Linked DNA regions of Sus scrofa. The protein of the gene in region 2 purifies or fractionates together with the protein of the main gene of each other region. This does not show direct contact. Links are inferred from orthologs where the notes say so. Each region holds a gene or a part of one and is shown on either strand. Other genes may lie near its edges.

Evidence for each region.
Region 1: the proteins of PTPN12 (region 2) and VAPA purify together in Homo sapiens (affinity purification with mass spectrometry; 3 studies listed by BioGRID and IntAct, counting the BioPlex papers as one, with this or other methods). This does not show direct contact. The link is inferred for Sus scrofa from reciprocal best matches to the Homo sapiens genes PTPN12 and VAPA.
Region 3: the proteins of PTPN12 (region 2) and PSTPIP2 purify together in Homo sapiens (affinity purification with mass spectrometry; 4 studies listed by BioGRID and IntAct, counting the BioPlex papers as one, with this or other methods). This does not show direct contact. The link is inferred for Sus scrofa from reciprocal best matches to the Homo sapiens genes PTPN12 and PSTPIP2.

What each region holds. Positions count from the first base shown.
Region 1 is NC_010448.4:98,211,477-98,215,063, forward strand, and holds the end of VAPA (vesicle-associated membrane protein-associated protein A), read right to left. Parts: intron 1,879-3,587; coding exon 1,720-1,878; 3' UTR 859-1,719; downstream 1-858. UniProt on the Homo sapiens protein: Endoplasmic reticulum (ER)-anchored protein that mediates the formation of contact sites between the ER and endosomes via interaction with FFAT motif-containing proteins such as STARD3 or WDR44.
Region 2 is NC_010451.4:102,510,935-102,515,802, forward strand, and holds part of PTPN12 (tyrosine-protein phosphatase non-receptor type 12), read right to left. Parts: intron 2,331-4,868; coding exon 2,271-2,330; intron 1,602-2,270; coding exon 1,459-1,601; intron 1-1,458. UniProt on the Homo sapiens protein: Dephosphorylates a range of proteins, and thereby regulates cellular signaling cascades. Dephosphorylates cellular tyrosine kinases, such as ERBB2 and PTK2B/PYK2, and thereby regulates signaling via ERBB2 and PTK2B/PYK2.
Region 3 is NC_010443.5:95,654,470-95,659,337, reverse strand, and holds part of PSTPIP2 (proline-serine-threonine phosphatase-interacting protein 2), read left to right. Parts: intron 1-1,477; coding exon 1,478-1,512; intron 1,513-3,726; coding exon 3,727-3,833; intron 3,834-4,868. UniProt on the Homo sapiens protein: Binds to F-actin. May be involved in regulation of the actin cytoskeleton.

The DNA of each region.
Region 1 (3,587 bases), on a different chromosome or scaffold from region 2:
TAAAAAAAAACCCAATAGCTATGAAAGCTCATTCTGATTCTCATCACCAATAATACTGGTTACACAGAGGGCTTTAAGGCAAGGAATCACCGGTGGCACTGGCAGGACGGAAACGGGCTTCTGCTGGTATGCAGTCCAGTCATGGGGGGTAAGCTGCACGGAAGACTGTGCACACACAAGCCAGAGCTTTGGAAAGACATCACAGAGACAGTGACACAATACACAGCTCTGACAAGTTCAAAATATACCTGAGATGAAAATACAACCCAGAACTCCAAACAGCTCACTCCTTCACCACAGACCTGGGGCCAACACACTTCTCTGCACCACATCCAGTTCCCAAGGCCAACTTCCTTTTCAGATGTAAGTGCATCTTTTACAAAACCAACACCAATTTTCAAAAATCAAAATTCACTTATATTACATTGTACTTAGCAGAAAAAGTGACTCTATCTTCTCTGGTTCCAAAATTTTCTATGCTGGCACAGATTAACCAAATAAAAGACTAATTGCAGGAAAGTACACCAGACCCCATAATGTTGCATTTACACTGAAAACATACCACACGGTTGACAGGGGCAAGGATAGGGTCATTTTTCACAAAGGAATTCCCAAGGCTCAAGTCATAACAAATTTCCATAATGGAAACTTACTTTTGAGTATCAAACTGGACAGGGAAAAAAACCACTTTTAACTATTACAATGAAATGTTCTAAAATAAAAGGAATTATTAGGCTGGTCAAAAAGCAGTGACTAGAACCAAGAAGCATTATTAGGCTTTCTTGAGAAGATACTGAAAGAACCTATGAAGACTAGAGTAAAATAAACACAACAGAGCCATGCAGCAGACACGTAAACTGACTGAAATCACAGCACTTTTATTCTCATTGCTTATTTTATATTATCTCGAAGACAAATGGATTTTGATCTTCCAAAATGCCAAAAGCGGCCTGAAATGTTATCAATTCCTTTGCTTAAAACAATGAGGACTCTTCCCCGCAAATACTGTAATATATGAAAGGGTTCAGTGTGAGATAAATTACACATTTTATAACCCAAATCACCACAGCGCACGCCCTGGTATCCCATCTAATGACATGACAGACACACACAAGCTATCGAGCAAGAATCTGTTAACGGTTTTATTATTTTTATGTTAAATACCATGGGACAGGATTGTAAGGGTGAAAAACTCAGTCAACAACTGCCTCACGAGGGATAAGAAAAATTCTGCCATGATATTAGCAAAGGTAAAGGAGAAAATTTACACTGTAAGAGGCACCATTTCCCCACAGAATACCTCTTGGCATTTCCTGAATGAGTGGGATTAGCAATCTAAATAAATCATATTTCAAGAGGTAACAGCAACAGATAAAATTTAAAGGGATTATTAAAATAACATTTACAAGACTCTGAACAATTCTTGAACTCTTATTAAAACCACAAAGAAAGAACAATTTTTTATTTATGAATTTCATAAAGGACTGAATGTGCAACTGACACCTGCTAGTGATGGTCTGGCCACGTACACTCTGTCCAGGCGCCGAACACTCTGCTCTTACTGATTTCTAACCGTGAGACCTTTAAAGGCGAGGCCTACATGACGCTGTACACACAAAGAATGGTCACCGTGGGCCACACTACCAGTGAGATGGTAGGTAAACAAATCTTTTTCTGGTCGGGAGAAAAAAAAAGAAATAGCACTCTGCATGCTTCACTCTACAAGATGAATTTTCCTAGAAAGAATCCAATGAAAATGGCTGCAATTACAACAAGGAGTGAAGGAAGAGGGCTGGTGACATTATCTCTGAAGGACGCGGCTGAGGTGGATCCAGGTTTTTCCGAATGTGCTACCTTTCTGAGCCTTAAGCCTTCATCCTAGGAAAAAATATATGCACAAAGAAAGGTTTTAAAAACGAATATGCATAAGAGGACTGAGCTACAAATGAACAGACAAGGAAGCAAAGTAGGATGCATGCAGCTTGGTGACAACAGGGATGAGCCGCTAGCTGGCCTAATAAAACTTTCTAGGGGGACAGAAACGTTCTAAAAGGGGGCTCCAGGGATGGCTGTGCAATTCTATAAATTTACTAAAAATCAGAGCTGTATACTCACAACAGGTGTCCTTATGGAATATAAATTACACCTCAATAATGCTGATTTTTAAAACTGGAGCTAAGAAATATACTCCCAAAAAACTGAAATATCAGCTACAGTTACATTTACATAGAAGGAAAAATCCTACTAAAATGAACACAACTGAAGAATTCTCTGCATGCAGTTATTTCCCAGTGGCCCACAGTAGCTTGACATTGCTTACACCTGTCCTAGCCCTGAGCCACAGACTACCAGAAACAAAGTTAGGTCAGATAGTCTGAGTTAGGGCACTCGCACAGCAGAGGTTCAGGGGACAGATAGGACCTGAAAGGGTTTGGGAGAAGGGGGAAGTTCAGGACAATATTTAAACGTAGTGTTCTGACGTGCCCCATGCAAAGCAGGAGGTCGGCACAGGGTCTGGACTGCAGAGCAAATGCAAAATCCTTTGTTAATGGCAACTACAAGTACAACAGATGAGGGATGCTGTGTACAGAATCACATCTGAGGCCCCACACCTGGACGGGACTCAAAGTGACTGTGTTCCTCCAGACGAGCAGCTGCTTGGCTCTCACGGCTTCAGTCCCCCTGGCAGAACTACTGACAGCCTATAAGCTTAGGGACAAGGCTCCTCATAAGAAAAGAGCAGTCCCTCAAAGCAGGAGGCTAAAGGAGGACCTCAGGGAGGGGGCAACAGGGACTGACAACTGTTTACTAGGCAGCAGGCATCGGCTGGTCATCCCAACCTGATGACCAGCAGGGCAGATTTTCACCTCCTTGGTGCGAGCTCATTTTTACTTTTCACACTAATTCATCCAGAGTGTTTACTAATTCCAACTCAAAGAGTCCACCTGACACCATACTGTTCCATTTGCATGACTGGGTGTCCTGAGGGTTGTGGGTTTGTGGTGTTGCTCTAACTAGTCCTATGTAGAGAGAATGGTGACTCTAAGTCTCAGAAAGAACTTGACACTCCTGGGGACTCTGACTCACTAGGTCTTGGGGGGGGGGTATCTGGACATGGGTGTCTGAAAAGCTCACTAGCAGGTTCAGATTAAGAACCACAGCGCTGGGGGCACAGGTGAGACCCACTCAAGAAAGGTAACCTGATAACAAGTTACAATGGGCCTCACACATAAACTGTTCAGGTCAGGAAACCAACTCTGTAAACTAGAGGTCTTAAAGGTTCTTCTGTTTATCTTTTATACAGGTGCAGGCTTTCCAAATAACCTCTCCTACAGAGTGTGCAGAGCAGGGAACACCACCTGCCCTGCTCACTCCTTCCAGCCCCCACCTTACCAGGGAGGATCCAGGCTCTTGGAGCACGTGCACTGGGTGCTGAGGAGCCCACCCTGCACCCAAGACAGAGCCAAGGAAGCCACAGCAGGTCAAGAAAAAGCAGCAAAAACAGCACCCTCAAAACTGGAGACCCTCCCTCCACTCCCAGACAGATGCCAGGGGCAGGGGTCTGAGGGGGATGACAGAGTAGGAAA
Region 2 (4,868 bases):
GTAAAGATCCGGCATTGCTGTGAGCTGTGACAAAGGTCAAAAATGCAGCTAGATCTGGCTTTGCAGTGGCTGTGGCCCTCAGGTGCAGCTCTGATCTGATCCCTGGACTGGGAATTTCCATATGCCACAGGTGTAGCCCTAAAAAAAAAGGCAGAAAAAAAAAAGTCATCTCTAGTGGGATCTGAATGACTCCGTTTATGTATGTGTTTTCTAAGTCACTTTAGTTACATTATTTTGGTTGTTAAAAAATATTAAATGATATAGTTATCTTTTAAAGGAAAATCTTCCTATCATACTGGATTTATCAACTATATACACTGACTAGACAATATTGATAAAACAATTTCTTTATCTTTTGATTCTACAAGATCTTTTTCTTTTTAACCAGTTAACTACTTAATTAAAAAGTCAACTAACCACTGAATTAACTACAGAAAACATTTTTTAATTAACCAGGTTTTTACTGATTCCCACATCTCAATAAGCAAGTCACCTCTCCGGCCCATAAATAAAAAGCAGCCCTTTCACTTCACTAATATAGACATCACAATCCAACCAACTGGCTAAGAAAACTATCTTTGGTGTTACATCTTCACTAATATCTTTTAACTATTTAATTAACCAGTAAATTGAAGTCTAAGACATTCATTTACTTTTTGCAACAAATGCGAATGCAGACATGTCACTTAAAAAGATAGATTGCAGTTTTATGAAGCATTATGGTATTTTTTTTTTCCTTTGGCTTTTTAGGGCCACACCTGTGGCATATGGAAGTTCCCTGGCTAGGGGTCTAATCGGAGCTACAGCAGCTGGCCTACCCTGCAGCCACAGCCCCGCCAGATCTGAGCTGCGTCTGTGACCTACACCACAGCTCACGGCAATGCTGGATCCTTAACCCACTGGGTGAGGCCAAGGATCGAACCCGCACCCTCAAATATACTAGTCAGATTCATTTCCACAGCACCACAATTTTAAGTCTTCTAGAAGAATCTAATATAAAATAAAAATTAAGAGAAGAAAAATTGCCCCAGGATTCAAAGCTTTTATTATTTGGAAATCCATATAATGATCTAAGAAATTCCTTAGATAGGAAACAGGTTTCAAAATACCAAATATTACCCATATTATAATGTCACCTCTATTCCAAATTATTACAATATTTAGGGGAGTTCCCGTCATGGCACAGTGGTTAACGAATCCGACTAGGAACCATGAGGTTGCGGGTTCGGTCCCTGCCCTTGCTCAGTGGGTTAAGATCCGGCGTTGCCGTGAGCTGTGGTGTAAGTTGCCGACGCGGCTTGGATCCAGCGTTGCTGTGGCTCTGGCGTAGGCTGGTGGCTACAGCTCTGATTCGACCCCTAGCCTGGGAACCTCCATATGCCACGGGAGCGGCCCAAGAAATGGCAAAAAGACAAAAAGACAAAAAAAAAAAAAAAAATTTAGAAGATTCTTTTGTACCTGCAATGAATACAAATAGGCACATCTTCATGTTCCTGGTATTTCCTCATTAAGCTTATCATATCCAGAATAGAATCAAATGATGAGGGAACATCATGGTCTGGCCAGTTGACATAATGAAATTGATAAAGCCTACGAGATTCCTTCAAGAATAGAAATTCAATAATTATGAAAACACAGGTGCAAATTCTAAAGCATATAGAAAAGCTGTACATCTCACCTTACTGCCATTTCTAAGATATGTATACTGTATTTAGCACCTTAAAAAAACAAACAAACAAACAAACAAAAAAATAGCCTACATTTATAGACTACTTATCACATACCAAGTATTGATCTAAGGGCTTCACATGTAACAATTTACTTAATCCCCATTTAACACCACGGGGACGGTATCATTAATACTATCCTCATTTTATGGGTAAGGAAATTGAGACAGAAAGAGTAATTTGCAAACTGTTTCAAAGCAAGTGGCAGATGAGGGATCTAAAAGCTGGCAGTCTTACCTCCAAAACTTGTACTTTAACTATTACACTACATATACTATTTAATTAGTCTAGAGTATTAAATGGATGAGCAATACACCATAAGCACTGTTAGAATCTATTGTAATTAGAAGGCTAATAGAATATTTATTACTTTAATTGATAAACATAAGGCTCAAGATACTAAATAATGTATTATATCTGATTTTCATTGTTTTATATAACTAAAAAAACAAATCTCCTTAACTATGTAAGATAGTATACTATTTATATATCTTCTCTTTAAAAACTATCCTTAGAAATAACCTCTCATTGGAAAATACTTACATTCTGAAATTCAAGTAATAGTGTCCTAATGAAGTAGTCAGTTCTTGCCTGTTCAGCTTCCTAAGTAAAGAGAAACACTTGTTATTAAGAACATAAAACAAAAACATACACACCAAAACAAACAATAACCTCATATTTAAAGTTCACAATATAAAATTAACCTTTAAAATTCCAGGTGTGCCTGATAATTATAAAAACAACCATTCTGAAAGTCATCAATTTGTTTATCTAAGTTCTACTTGGAACTTTTTTTTTTAAGCAGAAGTATCTGTTAATCAATTACTTAGCTAGGAGTCTATCATCTAATAAAATATCTGCAAAGTAACAGCCATCCCCAGAATCATGTAACAGATTATCACCTACACACAAAATGTCACTTCTTAGGACCTATAAACATCTTCAACCATTTTATCTTTCCATAAAGCCTTATTAAAATTCAACTATGAATTAACTGGATGCCAACTGGGGAAGGAAAAGGATGCATTCGGAAAATCCCAAATTATCATTCTGATTGATGACAACATAACCATGTTAAAAGTCTCTTACTGTCATCTGTTAATGTATTGGAATGAAGCCTCTGTATCAGTTTCTCACTAAGCAAACTATTCTCTTTGCCTTTTTAATTAAAATTACAAATAGTCTACACAGTGATTGTCAAGAGCAATAAGGTATGCTGCTTTATTAATAAAAAATTCAGTATTACTCCTTTAATTTTTTTAAACTATAGTAGTTTATTTTGAACTTTTTAAATAATAAAAAGGGGAAAGTATGTTTTTATATTCATCGAATTGGAGTATGGATGAAAACATTGGACTTAACCTTTCCTCACCTATAAAAGGTGAGATAGAGATTTTTGTTTTTGTGGGCTTTATTATAAAGTCTGTTTGCTCAACTTTGCTGTTGTTTTCACAAATATGTAAATTAATGGATGTGGTTGTACTCCACTAAAACTTTACTCACAGAACAGGTAGTGGGCTAGACAAACCCAAGGATATTGTGCTGATAATTTGGTCTGAGTGGATATATGCAGCAACATACTTCTCAGCTCCTGCTGGCCAGTCCCCTACCTTTCACCAACACTTTCCCCCACTTCTCATCCTTAAACTGAGAGAGCTCCTGACTAGTGTCCTCTCTCAGTCTCAAACACTCTGACTGCCAAGTAGAGTCAAGTCACTTACTTCGGTTATTTTTAATAACTTGCTTTCTATTTACAAATTTGGTTTTTGGGAGTTCCTATTGTGGCTTAATGGAAATGAATCTGACTAGCATCCATGAGGACGCAGGTTTGATCCCTGGCCTCACTCAGTGGGTTAAGGATGAGCTGTGGTGTAGGTCACAGACACCACTTAGATATGGCGTTTTTGTGGCTGTGGTCAGGCTGGTAGCTACAGCTCTGATTTGACCCCAGCCTGGGAACCTCTGTATGCCTTGGGCGTGGCCCTAAAAAAAAAAAAAAGATTTTTGCTTTTATCAGTGATAACAAATACTGACTTGTCTGAAACAACAAGACAATTACTTCCCATTTTGAAACCCTGAAAGAAAAATTTTGCTTCTCAGCATACATCAGTCCCAACATTGACAAATCAAACCAGCTGTTACTAATCAAATCAAACTTATTAAGAGGACTTTTTTTTTTAATTAAAAAAAATATTATGGCCACACTCGCGGCACATAGAAGTTCCTGGGCCAGGGACTGAATCTGAGCTGCAGCTGCAACCTACACTACAGCTGTGGCAATACCGGAGGACTTCTTAAAATTACCTTTTAGCGCAATTAAAAAGTCAACCAGGAGTTCCCATCATGGCTCAGTGGTAACAAACCTGACTAGTATCCATGAGGATGCGAGTTCGATTCCTGGCCTTTCTCAGTGGGTTAAGGATCTGGTGTTGCTGTGAGCTGTGGTGTAGGTTGCAGATGCAGCTCAAATTTGGCATTGCTGTGGCTGTGGAGTAGGCCAGCGGCTACAGCTCCAATTCGACCCCTAGCCTGGGAACTTCCGTATGCTGCAGCTAAAAAGTAAAAGAAAAAAAGCCAACAAAAAAGCCAATTCATCTTTTTCCAAACTATAAACTATTGCTTACTTTTTCTATTCAGTTGTTTACTATTCCTGATCCCCAACTGTTCAAAAATTTCAAGTTGTTTTGTTGTTTACTATTATAAGCACTATATGTTGTCACTTGAATTGTGACATTCAGTATAATTATCTTATTACATTTAAATTTACAAATGTTCAACACAACCACACTGCACAGAACTAGGCTTCCTGGACTAAGAACTTAATATTGTAGAACACTTTCTGAATTGGTAAGGCAGAAGGTGTTTCCTCACAGAAATACAATATAGTTATGTATTAGTTTTTATTCATTCCAAATAATATGAAATGTTTTATGATTTTTAAAATTTTTATATTTAATCAACAAACAATTAATTATAACCAGGATTTTAGAGTACTGACTGCATATTAAATCCAGGCAGTTTACTATGAATTACAGTTAACATTACAAAAATGAGACTGCATTTAAAAGGAGTCTGTGTAACACAATTTTAGTCCTTTTCTACATCAACCTAGAAAACACTAAATTTAGGATACACATCAGG
Region 3 (4,868 bases), on a different chromosome or scaffold from region 2:
ATTTCACTACATCTCATTGCTTCTTGAGTGACAGGAGTGAGCCCAGTGAGATCTGCTTCCATGAAGGTGGTGATGCACAAAAAAATCCCCAGGGCCACTTCACCTCAGAAGGAGGCTTACTTAAGGATGAGTAGGGTTGAGGAGAATGAAAACCACGGGCAAGGGGGAGCTATAAGGAAGGAGGAGCCATGAGTTATGAGAGAGAGGATGGGTGAGATTGAGAAAGGATCTTCTCCACAGAAACTGTGAGAAAAGGAATGTGTCATGTTTAAAGCTGTCAAACTTGTGGTAGTTTGTTCTTCAGTGATAGATGCTAAATCAGTGTGTTTAATGTCTACCTCCTCCACTAAGACTCTCCAATCTGGGAGTTCCCATTGTAGCGCAGTGGAAATGAATCCGACTAGGAACCATTAGGTTGCCGGTTTGATTCCTGGCCTTTCTCAGTGGGTTAAGGATCCAGAATTGCTGTGAACTGTGGTGTAGGATACAGAAGAGGCTTGGATCTGGCATTGCTGAGTCTATGGCATAGGCTGGTGGCTACAGCTCTGATTCGCCCCCTGGCCTGGTAACCTCCATATGCTGCGGGTGCATCCCTCAAAAGACAAAAGACCAAAAATAAATAAATAAATAAATAAATAAATAAATAAAAAAGACTCTCCAGTCTGTCTTGCACCACCAAATCATCAATATGTGACACAGTGCCTGGCCAATACTTTATGTGCAATAAGTATGTGATGATTGATGAATGGATGAAAAAGGAGGTGACCAGGAGCCAGAGTTTGAATCCTCCCTTTATTTGCTTGTATCCATATTTCTAATTACCATTCTTTAAAAAATGACTAGTATTCTAATGAGAAAGGGACCGCAACTCCTATATTATCATTGGGGGAAATGAAACACAAAGAATTTGGGTATCTGGCTCCACCCAGGTGGACAGGGAAACATTTATGATTCTTGTGCTTGGACTGAGAGAGTAACAAAGAGGACACTGAGGAATTCCCGTCGTGGCGCAGTGGTTAACGAATCCAACTAGGAGCCATGAGGTTGCGGGTTCGATCTCTGGCCTTGCTCAGTGGGTTGACGATGATGTTGCCATGAGCTGTGGTGTAGGTCAGAGATGTGGCTCGGATATGGAGTTGCTGTGGCTGTGGTATAGGCCGGCAGCTACAGCTCTGATTAGACCCCTAGCCTGGGAACCTCCATATACCGAAGGAGCAGCCCCTAGAAAAAAGGCAAAAAGACAAAAAAAAAAAAAAAAAGAGGAAACTGAAGACGCCCGATCTTTTGCTGTCTTCTCAGGCTCATGGGCAAAGATTAGACCATAGGCTCTGGGAGAGAGAAGATGTGGGTAGAGAGAAGCATGAGATTTAGAGATGGAAAGAACCTTGGAATCGTCTCATGAGAAATAGGATCGAATTATACCAAGATTGTATAGACAATTTCCAGAACTGAAATTATATATGTGCTTGTTTTTTAGCACCCTGAAGCGGGCCCTTGAAGTCTTCAAGCAACGTAAGTGATTCTTTAAAAATATATTTATTGTCCTTGGCAAGCTCTCTGTGTGTGTGTGTGCGTCTGTCATTAATTCGAACAGCAATCTTGGAGTTCGTGTCATGGTGCAGCAGAAACGAATCCAACTAGGAACCATGAGGTTGTGGGTTTGATCCCTGCCTTTGCTCAGTGGGTTAAGGACCTGGTGTTGCTGTGAGCTGTGATGTAGGTTGCAGACTCGGCTCAGATCTGGCGTCGCTGTGGCTGTGGTGTAGGCTGGCAGCTATAGCTCTGATTTGACCCCTGGCCTGGAAGCCTCCATATGCTGTGGATGCAGCCCTAAAAAGACCAAAAAAAAAAAAAAAAATTGAACAGCAATCTCATAATGGATGAAAAAAAAAAAAATGAGAGCAGCTCCTAAGGTGAAGGCTAGCTTTGCAGAATTGAAATGGGCTGGAGAACCATTCCCATTTGCACATCATCATGAGCATTTGACTTACTTGGGGCAGTGCTTCTCAGACTGGAAATCCAGGGAGAGGCCCTGGCATTGGTCTTCAAGGGGTCCTGTCCAGTTCCAGTGTTCTCCAAGCTGGTGCCTTTAAGCCATTCTGTTCTTGGTGCTTCCAAGCTAAGGACTTTATGTGGCACAGTATGTGCTTGAAGTGTTTCTGTAGCTAGTTGAATGGTTCTGGACATCGTTCTGTTTCAGTTCTTACTGATCTGCCTCAATTTGGTTTATTCTACCAAATGCCACATTTCTTCTGGAAAGGTTGTACTGATTTCTTCCCCACCAGCAGTACTTTTTCCCCACACTTGAAAGTACCAAGAATTTTTGCACTTTAAAAATTTTGCCAAACTGAAAGGTAAAATGTGATACATTTCTGGGATTTATTTAAAGTGTCTTTTTTTTTTTTTTTTTAAGGGCTGCACTGGTGGCAGATGGAGGTTCCCAGGCTAGGGGTCCAATTGGAGCTGTAGCTGCTGGCTTACGCCAGAGCCACAGCAGTGCGGGATCTGACCTGTGTCTGAGACCTACACCACAGCTCATGGCAACACCAGATCCTTAACCCACTGAGTGAGGCCAGGGATCGTACCCATGTCCTCATGGATGCTAGTCGGGTTCGTTAGCCTCTGAGCTGTGACGGAAACTCCCATTTCTGTGTTTTAAAGTTTTGGTTTTTTTCAATCGTTTTAAGGTTGAACACTTTTTCAAATGTTTAGTGGCAATTTAGACAATTTAAAAAAATTTCATGTTCTGTAACCAATTTTAAAATACTAAATATGCATTTCTTTTGATTTCTGAAAGCTCTTTTAATACAGCTATTTGCTCTTGGTTACATAAATTGCAAATATTTTTTTTCTAGTTTCTCATGTGTCTTGTAACATTATTCAAAGTTATTTTGACAAACACAAGTTGGAAATTTTTTCTTAGGTCAGCTCACTCAGTCTTTCTAGCTATAACATCATCCTTATTTGTTTTCTTAGAAAAAGAACAATAAAAATTTCAGTTTTTCTAGTAGAAAAGTAAGCCATGATCATTGCAGAGATCTTAAAAAATAAGAGGAAAAATACCAATAAGCTTTCTATTCAGAGATAAAAATTTTTTCTTTTTTCTTTTCAGGGCTGCCCTCTAGGCATATGGAGGTTCCCAGGCTAGGGGTCTAATCGGAGCTACAGCTGCTGGCCTACACCACAGCCACAGCAAGGCCAGATCTGAGCTGCGTCTGAGACCTACACCACAGCTCATGGCAATGCCAGATCCTTAAGCCACTGAGCAAGGGCAGGGGTGGAACCCGAAATCTCATGGTTCCTAGTTGGATTCGCTTCCACTGCATCACGATGGGAACTCCTAGGGTAAATTTCTTACAGGCTCATGAGATGTTAGAAATGGAAAGAACCTTAGAATCATCTAATGAGACACAGGATCGAATTTGAGATTGTGGTGTGTTTAGTAATGTGTCCTGTCATGCAAGCTCCATGAACTTCTCCCCGGCCCTGGGCATACACTAGGTTAGTAGCAGTTAGTGGTAGGAAGCTAAGCTAAAGGTTTGCCAACTTGGTCTTGGCCAGGACAATGCTGGTCACATAAAGGGGCTCAATAAATGCTAGTGACCAAATGAGGTAGGTTAACTTTACCACTTGCTTCAGTATTTGGTATATTTAATTTTTGTATAGTCTTGTATATTTGAATTTGGACATGTATAGATCTTGTTTCCTTTTTAATTCTTTTTGCAGAAGTAGACAATGTGGCCCAAAGTCACATTCAGCTCGCACAGACTCTAAGAGAAGAGGCCAGGAAGATGGAAGAATTCAGGGAAAAGCAAAAGTTACAACGGAAAAAGGTTGGGTTTGCATATTAGGATGTTGCCTTTCTTCCAGCAGAAAATGCCAGGGTTTTATTAAGTAAACTCCTTGGCTCAGCTCCCATCTACAAATGACCATGCTCTTCTTTTAACCTGCGAGATTATTTACTGGGAACCATGTGGGCCCTGAGTCTAGACAGTTATGCCTTTGTGCCCAATTACATGCTAGTCTAGTTCTTTTTATTTATTTTTTAAATTGAAGTATAGCTGATTTACAATGTTGTGTTAATTTCTTGTGTCTAGCAAAGTGATTCATATATATGTGTGTGTGTTACTTTGCACATTCTTTTATTTTTATTTTATTTTTTTTAATCTTTTGTCTTTTTAGGGCTGCACCTAGGTCATATGGAGGTTCTCAGGCTAGGGGTCGAATCGGAGCTGCAGCTGCCAGCTTACAGCACAGCCATAGCAATGCCAGATCTAAGCCTCATCTGTGACCTACATCACGGCTCACGGCAATGCTGGATCCTTAACCCACTGAGAGAGGCCAGGGATCAAATCCGCAACCTCATGTTTCCTAGTCAGATTCATTTCCCCTGTGCCAAGACAGGAACTCACATATTCTTTTCAATTATAGGTTATTATTAAGATACTGAATATTGTACCCTGTGCTATACAGTAGAACCATGTTGTTTATCTATTAGGCCAGTCCTTTCCTTTTCTTTTCTTCTCTTTTTTCTTTTCTTTTCTTTTCTTTTTTGGCTGCACCATGGCACACAGAAGTTCTTGGGCCAGGGATTGAACTCATGCCACAGTAGTGACTTGAGCCATAGCAGTGACAGCACTGATCCATCAATCACTAGGCCACCAGGGAACTCCTAGGCAAATCCTTGTTGCAGGAGTCAGGGGTTCAGCCTGCTTTCCTGTTCTTTTCATCTCTGCTGCCACTGTTGAAACCATGGCTGGAAAGGGTAACCCTTCTATCCTCATTAGGGTCTAGCACTTCCATGGTGGTGGGCTCTCAGACCACTCCTGGACCAAGCAGTAAGGGAGGGTGAGAAGTAGAGGGGACTT